2 linked regions of the Macaca mulatta genome follow. The protein of the gene in region 2 interacts with the protein of the main gene of each other region in a biochemical or structural test. Links are inferred from orthologs where the notes say so. Each region holds a gene or a part of one and is shown on either strand. Other genes may lie near its edges.

The links.
Region 1: the proteins of MYH9 (region 2) and S100P interact in a biophysical measurement, tested with the Homo sapiens proteins (2 studies listed by IntAct). The link is inferred for Macaca mulatta from reciprocal best matches to the Homo sapiens genes MYH9 and S100P.

Annotation. Positions count from the first base shown.
Region 1 is NC_133410.1:6,343,644-6,349,143, forward strand, and holds the start of S100P (protein S100-P), read right to left. Parts: upstream 3,376-5,500; 5' UTR 3,340-3,375; coding exon 3,136-3,339; intron 41-3,135; coding exon 1-40.
Region 2 is NC_133415.1:15,268,859-15,273,694, reverse strand, and holds part of MYH9 (myosin-9), read right to left. Parts: intron 3,810-4,836; coding exon 3,597-3,809; intron 3,142-3,596; coding exon 2,997-3,141; intron 2,365-2,996; coding exon 2,158-2,364; intron 1,930-2,157; coding exon 1,825-1,929; intron 1,550-1,824; coding exon 1,397-1,549; intron 286-1,396; coding exon 37-285; intron 1-36. UniProt on the Homo sapiens protein: Cellular myosin that appears to play a role in cytokinesis, cell shape, and specialized functions such as secretion and capping. Required for cortical actin clearance prior to oocyte exocytosis. Promotes cell motility in conjunction with S100A4.

The sequences.
Region 1 (5,500 bases), on a different chromosome or scaffold from region 2:
CCTTGAGCAGTTTATCCACGGCATCCTTGTCCTTTCCACTCTAGAGGAGAGAGAGGACCAAGGTCAGCAGCGAGGCCCTGTGCAGGCCTCAGCCTCCACCAAGCACCACTGCTGGGCAGGAGCAGGGCACCCACATCTGCATCACCTGTGCTATCATTCAGGCTCAGGGCCAGGGCCAGCTGTGCATAGCAGACACATGGCGTTCCTGGCCTTATCTTGTGAGCTGCCTTCAGCTATCTGGCATGACATGAACTAATTCTGAATGTTATTAGAGCAAATGGGAACTGTGTTGTGCTCTGCGAGAAGGAGTTTCAGTTTTAGTTTTTGCAGGGGGTTGTCTTTGGATTTGTAATGTGCTTTACAGTGATGGCTGTTCTCAGGAAATGCGTCCAGTCCTTGCTCTTATATTTTTGTGCACTGCTAACGTCATGGGCATCCCATCTCGTGCTGGCACTGAACTAGCTGCTTACACAAACATGAACTCCTCAACACCACCAGGCATGGCAGAGGCATCGCCCTGTTACAGATGAAGACGATAAGGCCCAGAGGGCCCAAGGGGCCTGCCCTGAGGTCACACAGGGAGCCAGGGAAAGCCAGGGTTGAGCCCCAGGTGTGGAGCGAGCACGGACCACCCTGAGCCCTGTTATTCCTCTCTGCTTGGGTACCCTGGCTTGGGGTCCCAAGCTCTCAGGTCTTCTTTGAGAAGGCCAGGCCGGCAGGGCTCTCAGAGCCTGCCCATGTGATGGCAAAGCATTCTCACTATGGGACCAAGCGGGACCAGGATGCAGATCTGAACAGCAGCAGCAGGGGGTGCTGATGACCCAGCCCTGGGCCAGAGAGCCGTGTGTCCAGGTGGAAAAAAACAATTAAAATTGGTAGACACAGATCGTCTGACCAAGACACAACTGTGTGCATGAAAACCTTAGTGACAGCATGGTTTTTTAATAGCAAAAGTAAGGCAGGGAAGTATAAATTCAATAGCAAACAAATAGTGGTTTGGCCACGTCACAATACCCTGCGGCCATTTCAAGTGATGTTTACGAAGTTTGTAGCCAGTCACCTCGTATTTACAAAGCTCCAACAGTGGGGCCTGGGCTGGGCATGGAGGAGATAAGGCCACAAGGCCAGCCCAGCCCTGCCCTCAGGCAGACATTGTTCTCTGACTCCGACTCCAGCTTTGCTAGGCTTCAGCAGCATCTGGAGGCAGGGCTGAGAAGGACACCCGGGGCCTCCCTGAGGTGATTCTTTTTTTTTTTTTTTTTTTTTTTTTTGAGACGGAGTCTCGCTCTGTCGCCCAGGCTGGAGTGCAGTGGCGCGATCTCGGCTCACTGCAAGCTCAATGCCCGGCTAATTTTTTGTATTTTTAGTAGAGACGGGATTTCACCGTGTTAGCCAGGATGGTCTCGATCTCCTGACCTCGTGATCCGCCTGTCTCGGCCTCCCAAAGTGCTGGGATTACAGGTGTGAGCCACCGCGCCTGGGATCCCTGAGGTGATTCTAATGTAACACAAGTTTGAGGACCCCCAGCTTAGCCATTGCTTCTCAAAGTGTGTTCCCAGGACACCTGCGCTTCCCCACACCCCGGTGTCTTGGATCAAAGTCCTCATGGGTTCAATTCTCATCCTTTGATGATTATCAGAACACCCCGAGCCCCAAGCCCAAGTTCCCAGGATGGGGCTGGGGTGTTTAATGAACATCAGAGTTTGAGATTTTATGCTGTAATGTTAAGCTCACAAAGAAATTAAACTGCATATAAATCCCACTCACAGCAACGTTCACATGGGGGAAAGACTGGAAGGGAGAGGAAGAGTCTGTATTCCAGGGGGGATTTCTTCCCTCCATATTTATCTGTTTTTACATTTTCTACCAAAAACAGAACTTTATTTTTAAAAGATATCTTTACAGAATTTACATTTAGAAAATAGAATGAGGCCAGGTGTTGGGGCTCACGCCTGTAATCACAGCACTTTGAGATGCCGAGGTGGATGCATTGCCTAAGCCCAGGAGTTTCAGACCAGCCTGGGCAACATGGTGAGACCTTGTCTCTAAAAAAAAAATACAAAAATTAGCCGGCTGTGGTGACATGCACCTGTAGTCCCAGCTACTTGGGAGGCTGAGGTGGGAGGATCACCTGAGCCCAGGGAGGCAGAGGCTGTGGTGAGCCGTGATCCTGCCACTGCACTCCAGCCTGGGCGACAGAGTGACAGCTTGTCAAAAAAAAAGAAAGAAAGAAAGAAAAGAAAAGAAAAGCAGCAATGTTCCGAAGTGTTTCATGTCTTTGAAGTGATTCTAGGGCTGAAAATGTCAGGCTTTCATTTTCGATTATCAGCAGCCATGTGGGTCAGCCCCTTAGATGGTAGGTTGGCAGAATCTGGTGGGGCCCGAAGGGGAGGGGAAGGAAGGAAGGAAGTGGGGGAGTGAGAAAGAAGGAGAGGACAGGGGTCAAAGAGAAGGGGAAACGGAGAGGGGAAGTCTTCTGTTCAGCCCAGACGGAGGCTGCCCCAGGTGGAAGGAAGCTGGTCCTGGCCGCCCCAAGGGGCCTTCTGTGAGGCTCAGGCCAGTGGCTTCTCCCTGGCAGGGAGCCCAAGGGAGGTCCGCAGCTCTGCGCAGACAGGTGCCAGGATGGAGCCTCCTCCTGTCCTTCCTGCCGGCCCCACTAATACCAGGCAACAAGGGGCCTGGGGATGGGAGCAGGGAAGGCGGACAAGTGGGAGGTGGAGCTGGGGCGTTTATGGCCGGCAGCCTTGGAGGACAGCCCCGAAGGTTCGAGGGCTTGGCAAACTTGCAAACGGCGGCCCTGGATTGCATTCCGCCCCTGCCCCCACTGCACAGGTTTGAGCCCCACTCTCCCACCAGGGCTGTCACAAATACACTGGGGTCAACTCCATGTTTCAAGGATCAAGCTGACCATACCCTCTCCCTGCTCAGATGCTCCAGCGTCCCCTGCCTTGATGCCAAGGTGGGTCCGTTCCTTGGCTGGGCTTCTAGGGCATTTCAGGATCTGTCCCTCTTGCCTCTGAGCCCCTTGACTGCCGACCCGACCCCACCCCACCGCAGCTCTCGGCCCTCTGCCTGCCACGCCTTCCCCTTCTTCCCCAGGCCCTGCTGAGTCCAGCACTGCTGGCCTGGGCTCACCTGCAGGAAGCCGGGTAGCTCCTTCTCCATCAGCACCTTGAGCTCCCCCTTGGTCAGGGTCTGCGTGCTGCCCTCGCTGCCTGAATATCGGGAAAAGACGTCTATGATCATGCCCATGGCTGTCTCCAGTTCCGTCATGGTGCTGGATTCAGACAAACCTTCCTCCTGGGGGCTGGAAAGGCCGAGAAAATGTCGCACTGGCATCCTCTTGTGCTTTATAAGGCAACCTCATATTGACACAGAGGGTGGGACAGTGGGGTTGGGACATTCAGGAAGTCCTGCCCCTCCCCATTCATGTGCTCAGTTCTGATGAAATGCATCGTTGTGATGACCTTTCTGGAAACTTTCTCCCAGCCAAGGCCCATGGTGTGGGCTGCCTCCAGGCGTCCGCATTTTACAATGTTCACCTGTGTCTCGGGGCCATCACTGAGCCACCGTGGTGTCCTCATCCCTGGCCCTCCCTGGGTAAGCGGCCACAGGGTGAGTGTGTGAGGAGTGAGTGGTGACTCCGTGGCCCTTTGTGTCAACATCAGAGTGTTCTGGCACCAGCGTGCTGACACGAGGAGACGTCTGAGAGTGAATTCACACTGGGCGTGTGTGTGAACACGGATCTGCCCCGTCACCCCTTTCTTAGAACACCCTGTGTCCTTCAGAGGCCCAGCTTCCACCTCAATCACGCTGGCTCCTCCCCTGTGGGGCCAAATGGAAAACTCCCCTTCGTCCTCTGGGAGTTCGCTGAAAATCAGCGGGCAAAAGGCAGATGAATAGGAGAAGAGCATAACAGATGTATTTGATGGTTGCTTATGTGGCACAGCAGCCTTCAAGATGAAGACCCAAGGATCTGGGGGAAACTGTCCATGTTTACAAACATAAACACAGTTCAGCAAAGTATGGAAATATGATTGGACACAAAAGTAAGGCCGGACGCTCATAAACCAAGAGGAAAACCCGGCCGGACTCTCGTAGACCAGGAGGAGAACCCGGCAGGGCCTGTCGGGTCAGATTCCCTGCGGCCTCTCTGAGCAGCTCTCCTTCCTTCTAGGTGTGGGGTAGGCCCCTCTCTGGAATGGAGCTCTTATGACCTCCAGTCAAATAAAGCAGGCCAGAGGGTTTCTTTAGGCTGGTTTCTACACAGAAAGGGGAGGGAGTGGAGAACTGGAGTCATATTTCTGGGTTTTACGGCAGGGTTTGGGGAAGCCTCTCAGAGGAGAAGGAGGGGTTGGAGACAGGAGGGTGGGAGCAGGACAGAGAAACTTTTGCTTCTGAGGTTTACACGTTGGGGTGTTATTTTTTGAGCCCTGGCACTTACCAAACCCAGAGCAGTCACAGGGCTTAGACAGCACGAAGGCTCCTGGGACCTTGGGGCAGAGTCAGGGACTCTGGTCTCAGGCACGGTAGCACCCCTCCCCATCTCTATAGTGGAGGCACTCAGAGGGCCTGTGCATGGGAGGCTGAGAGAGTCCTGGAGAGCGCGGAGGTAAGGAGCATGGAGGTAGGGGCCTGTGTTCACATCCTGCCCCAGTCAAAGTAGGCCCACACTCAAAGGCCTCTCTCTCGGTAGAGATCTTCCAGAGGGTCAGCCTCCAGCAAGTTCCCTAACCTCTCCCAACACAGCCCCCACCAGCACATGGGCCAGGACTGTGCCCGCGGGGCTGTGGCTCCACACAGAAAACCCTTGGTGCACACGGGAGCAGCAGGTCTCACAAGAGCCGGCTTTCTCAGAACACACTGCCCCTGCCCAGGTGTCCTGCAGGGGAGGCTCAGAGTGGCCCCACTGGTGACCCCTTGGGGAGCAGGCACAGGTCCATTCTGCTCACTCCTGAGCTGGGAAGTTCCCTCTTGGGATAAGGTCACACAGCACAGGCCACCATCCTACCACCTCAGCCAGAGGAGCGGCAGAGAGGAGACTCCCTGGCCCAGAGGCAGAGCTCCGCAGGAAGCGCGTTCACATACACATATATATGTATATACATGTATATACGTGTATATATGTATATACGTGTGTGTATATATATACGTGTGTGTGTATATATATATATACGTGTGTGTGTGTGTGTGTATATATATATATTTTTTTGAGACAGAGTCTCGCTCTGTTGCCCAGGCTGGAGTGCAGTGGTGTGATCTCAGCTCACTGCAAGTTTCACCTTCCGGGTTCAAGTGATTCTCCAGCCTCAGCCTCCTGAGTAGCTGGGACTACAGGCGTGTACCACACCAGGCTAATTTTTTTGTATTTTTAGTAGAGACGGGGTTTCACCATGTTGGCCAGTCTGGTCATCACTTTGTTTTAAAATTTTTATCTATTTATTTATTTATTTTTTTTTTTTGAGACGGAGTCTCGCTCTATCACCCAGGCTGGAGTGCA
Region 2 (4,836 bases):
GAAGAAATACAAAGGATGGAGCCAGTGGCCACACACCTGGTCAAACTTCTTCTGCTTCTTCTCCAGGTTGCACGCGCTCTGGCGTTGATGGTCCAGGTCCACCAGCAGGTCATCCAGCTCCTGCTGCAGTCGCGTCTTGGTCTTCTCCAGCTTGTCGTAGGCGGCCACCTTCTCCTCGTGCCGCTGGCTCAGGCCCTCCAGGTCCTTCTGGAGCTTCCTCTTCACCTCCTCAGCGGTTTCCAGGCACCCCACACTGTCCTCCATCTTCTTCTTCATGTCGGCCACCTGGGCAGGAGCCAGGAGTAAGCAGACGCCCGAGATGGCACCTGCTCAGGTGGCACACCCGTCCCTGGGGCAGCTGGGAGCCTGCCTGCCACACCGTGGAAGGGGCACCAGGGATCCGCCCAGTTATGAAACCGCCTCCCCCAGTCACTTCCCTCTCCACGGGGGCGAGACAAATGGAGCTTCTGCAAAGGGGCATCCGTCTACCGTGTGAAGCCCGGGGGAGGTTGACCCTCAGGCCCACTGTGGGGGCTCCCAGCCCTCATCCACACCAAGCCTCTTGCTCTACGGAGACCGCTCCCAGAGAGCAGGGCCAGTGCCCTGTAGGGATGTCTGCGGGGTCCCCATCACCCAGCCCCATCCTTGCACTTGGAGATAAACCTGCAATCACGCACACTCACGGGCTGCTCCCACCCTGACTGCGGAACAGACTCCCAGCCCATCCCGAGGTGGCTCAGGCCTTCTGGCCTGGCATATGGAGGCCCAAGATAGGATCTAGAGCAGGAGCTCTGAATATATATTAGGCTACGGACCCCTTGGCAGTCTAGAGAGGCCTAGGGACTCCTTCTCATGACAATGTTTTAACAGGCATTAAATAAACATATGGGATCACCAAGGCAACCAGTACAGAAAAATGCAGTGTTCACACATTCTAAAACACCGTGGCTCAGGAAGCCACGTGCTGCTAGGTAGCACATCAGACAGCAAACTCGGCGCAGGCCCGGGAACCACGAGGCCAAGGAGCTCGGCCGCAACCCTGACAGGGTAACTGGCCATTTCTACAGATGACGAGGGTGCAGTGACTGCCACCACTGTGGCTTGCTGCCTACATCCATCATGGAAGCAATGCTGAATTTCAGCTAAAGACTGGTGAAAATAAAGGTGTAAAATAGTGAAAATAGTGGTGTCCCCCATCTAAGTCCACAGACCCCTGGATTCCTCTCCTAGGGACTCAGGCTGAAAGCCCTGATGTGGGAGAGCAGGGTGGGCTTCCCTGGGGGAGAGCAGCAATGGGCTGGCCCAGTGGGCAGGGCTGTCCTGCAGTGCCCAGGCCAGTGCCCGGCCAGCAGCTCCCCAGCCTGCAGAGTCAGGCCGGTTCCCCAGGCCTCCAAACCTGGGCATGGAGGGTGGCGATCTGCTTCTCCAGGTTGTGCTTGGCCTCCTCCTCCTCCTCCAGCTGCTCCCGGAAGGAATTCTTCTCGTCCTCCACCTGCTTGAGCTTGGTGCTCAGGCTCAGCTTCTGCCGGTTCTCCTCCTGCAGCAGCTCCTACTCGCAGGTTGAGAGGGGTGTGGGCGCTCAGGAGAGCGGTGTCTGAAACCCAGGAACTCCACACCCTTGAGGAGAGAGAGGAGCTGGTCCTGCTGATTTAGGGGATGGCCACGTAAAGACCTGATGGGAGCTAGGAGGACGCAGAGACCCACCCACGGGATGAAGGAGATGAAGGAGAGGACGGGCAGTCCGATGGGTTCTGGAGCTAATGTCGTGGACACAGGGGCCTTCCTGGAGGAGTTCACCTTCTGGGAACCTGGCACCACCCTTACCTGAGTGTCCTGCAGCTGGGACTCCAGCGCGGAGAAGTCCTTGGTGAGCTTGCTGGACTTGCTGTCGGACTGGCTGAGAAGCCCGGTCACGTTGTCCAGCTCCACCTGCACGGGGCGGGGAGACGCAAAGGACCATGGACCCAGCCCCACCGCTCCTGCCCCACCTCAGCTCCTTTACGTAAAGCTGGACCTGAGTCACAAGCTGAAGCGTGAGGGTCTGAGGAGCCGGTTTGAGAAGAGAGAGAGACACAGAGCACACATGCACCCGGGGGTCTGGGCCACCACTGCTGCTGGCACCCACTGCCCGCGCCAGGATCCCGGCGGAGGCCTCACCTGCAGCTTGGTGACCTTGTCGACCAGCTCCGTGCGCACGCGCTCTCCCTCGTTGAACTTGACCTGCAGCTCCTGCAGCTGCGCCTCCACTTTCTTGCGCTTGTGCTCCGAGTCCCCTTTGCCCTGCAGCAGCACCTTCACCTCATTGGCCAGCTCCCCCCGCTCATTCTCCAGGGTCTGCTTTGCCTTCTCGAGGTTGGCTTTTACCTGGCGGGGAAGAAAGCAAAGATGTGAGTGGCGGCCTCCTGACACAAGGCTGGCTGGTCTGTCATCACTGGACTCGAGATCCAGACATCGCTGCTGCTGCAGCCCTGACGACGGTGCGCCTGAGTCCTGGACTCAGAAGGCTCAGGCCTCATCTGTCCTGTCCTCTTCTCTCTTGGCTGGTGGGTGACACTTGGCTCCTGTCTTCACTGCTTGGGACCTCAGCTTCCCCATCTCTAAAATAATACCTGCCCAGCCTTCTACCCTGGGTAGAGGCCAGGTTCTAGGGCACGGCACTGGTGTTGCAGATGTTAGCAATATTTATAATGCAATGAGGGGAACTGTAATTGTTTGTAGTTAAGACTTCCAGTAAAGCCTGTCTGAAGCCTGATGTTCAAAGTAACGAAGTAATGTTTTCACCCTCACATAACCACATGAGACAGACCTATCATAATCTTCCCTTGTGAACAGGGAAACTGAGGCCCAAGTCACAAAGCCCCTTAGAGGGGGAGCCTGGCCTCAGAACCAGGCAGTTGAGTTGGATCCTGCAGCTGCTCTGCAGGACTGATTCGGATTCTGTGGGCCCAGCACGGGGAACCCTGCCTTCCTGCTGCGGTCTCAGGGAGGCTCCGCACCCGCTTCGTCTGCTCCAGCTGCTCCGCCAGCTCCTCCACGGCCTGCGAGTGCTTCTGTCTCATCTCCTGGATCTGGGCCTCGTGGGTCTTGGCCTCCTCCTCCAAGGTCTTCTTCAGGATGTTCACCTCCTGCTCACGTTTCGACCTGGACAGAGAAATCCCCTCAGAGTGGAGGCTGGGAGCACTGGAGCAAGGCTGTCCCTGGAGCTCTTCCCTGACCAAAGAGAGGCCTGACCAGGGCACAGGCACTCCAGGCAGCTTCTCTACCCATCAGCCCCTCCTGACCATCTATCCCATGGGCCAGCCTGAAAGACGCACTGTGAAAGGCTTCTGTAGCCTTTCAGCTTTAAAGCCCACCCTTGCCTCACCCCCAACTTTGAGTCAGGTTCTTCAACAGGCTTTCTACTCTGTAGACAGAAACCGCTGAGGAACCAGCAGCTTCCATGCCTGCTGGCGCATAACAGGGCCACGGGGCGTGCGCGCGCGCGCGTGTGTGTGTGTGAGAATGCGCGTGTGCACAGAGGCCCAGGGTCCATGTCTCCAAGCCAAGACCCCCGTGGCTGCCCTCCCCATCCCCAGGGACTTGGTCCCAGGGCACACCTGAGCTCCTGCTGGGCAGCTGTGGTATCCAGCGTGTCCTCCAACTCTGTTTTCAGCGCCTCTAGCTCTTCCCCAAGGTCCCGTTTCTGCTTCTCAGCTTTATTTCTGGAAGCACGTTCTGACTCCAGGTCTTCCTGGAGTTCCGAGATCTGAGATTCCAGCTCCCGGATCTTCTTAAGGGCCATGTTCTTCTGGGCAGCTTCCTCTTCCACTCTGCCAAAGCGACCAGCAACATCAGTATAAGGTCAGTTTCACCTCCAAGGAGCAGAGTTTGCGGGACAGGCCTGAGAGAGGTGCGGCAGCCAAAGCTGCCTCTGGTGGTCACAATCATGGCACTTAGGGTGGCTCTCAGTAGAAACAACATCTGAGGCAACCAGACTGAAGGGCAACACCCCTCTGAGAACTAGAAAACCTCATAGAGGAATCCTTTCAATTTCCAAAGTAAGATTCACTGCTTCAAATATTTTTAAAAGTCAAATGATTTGTGGCCGGGCGCGGTGGCTCACACCTGTAATCCCAGCACTTTGGGAGGCCGAGGCGGGCAGATCACGAGGTCAGGAGATCGAGACCATCCTGGCTAACACTGCAAAACCCCGTCTCTACTAGAAACACAAAAAAATTAGCCGGGAGTGGTGGCGGGCGCCTGTAGTCCCAGCTACTCTGGAGGCTGAGGCAGGAGAATGGCGTGAACCCGGGAGGCAGAGTTTGCAGTGAGCCGAGATTGCGCCACTGCACTCCAGCCTGGGCGACAGAGCGAGACTCTGTCTCAAAAAAAAAAAAAAAAAAAAAAAAAAAGTCAAATGATTTGTTAAATGGGAAGAAAAGGAAATAAAATATTACACCACAGGATGACTGTAACTCAGTAAAAATATGAAAGTGCTATGGACTTTAGATGGTTGTGAGGAGTCAACGTAGGTTCACCAATTAGAACAAACACACCACTGCACTGGGGGGTGTTGGCAGCTGGGGAAGCGGTGCGTGAGTGGGGCAGCGGAAGATGGAGAAACTTCTGCTGATTCCTGCTGTGAATCTAAAACTACTCTACAAAATAAAGTCGCTTTCTTTTTTTTTTTTTTTTTTTTAAAAACAGAGTCTCGCTCTGTCACCTAGGCTGGGGTGCAGTGGCGCGATCTTGGCTGACTGCAACCTCTGCCTCCTGGGTTCAAGGGATTCTCCTGCCTCAGGCTCCTGAGTAGCTGAGATTACAGTCGTGTGCCACCACCCTGGCGAATTTTTTATA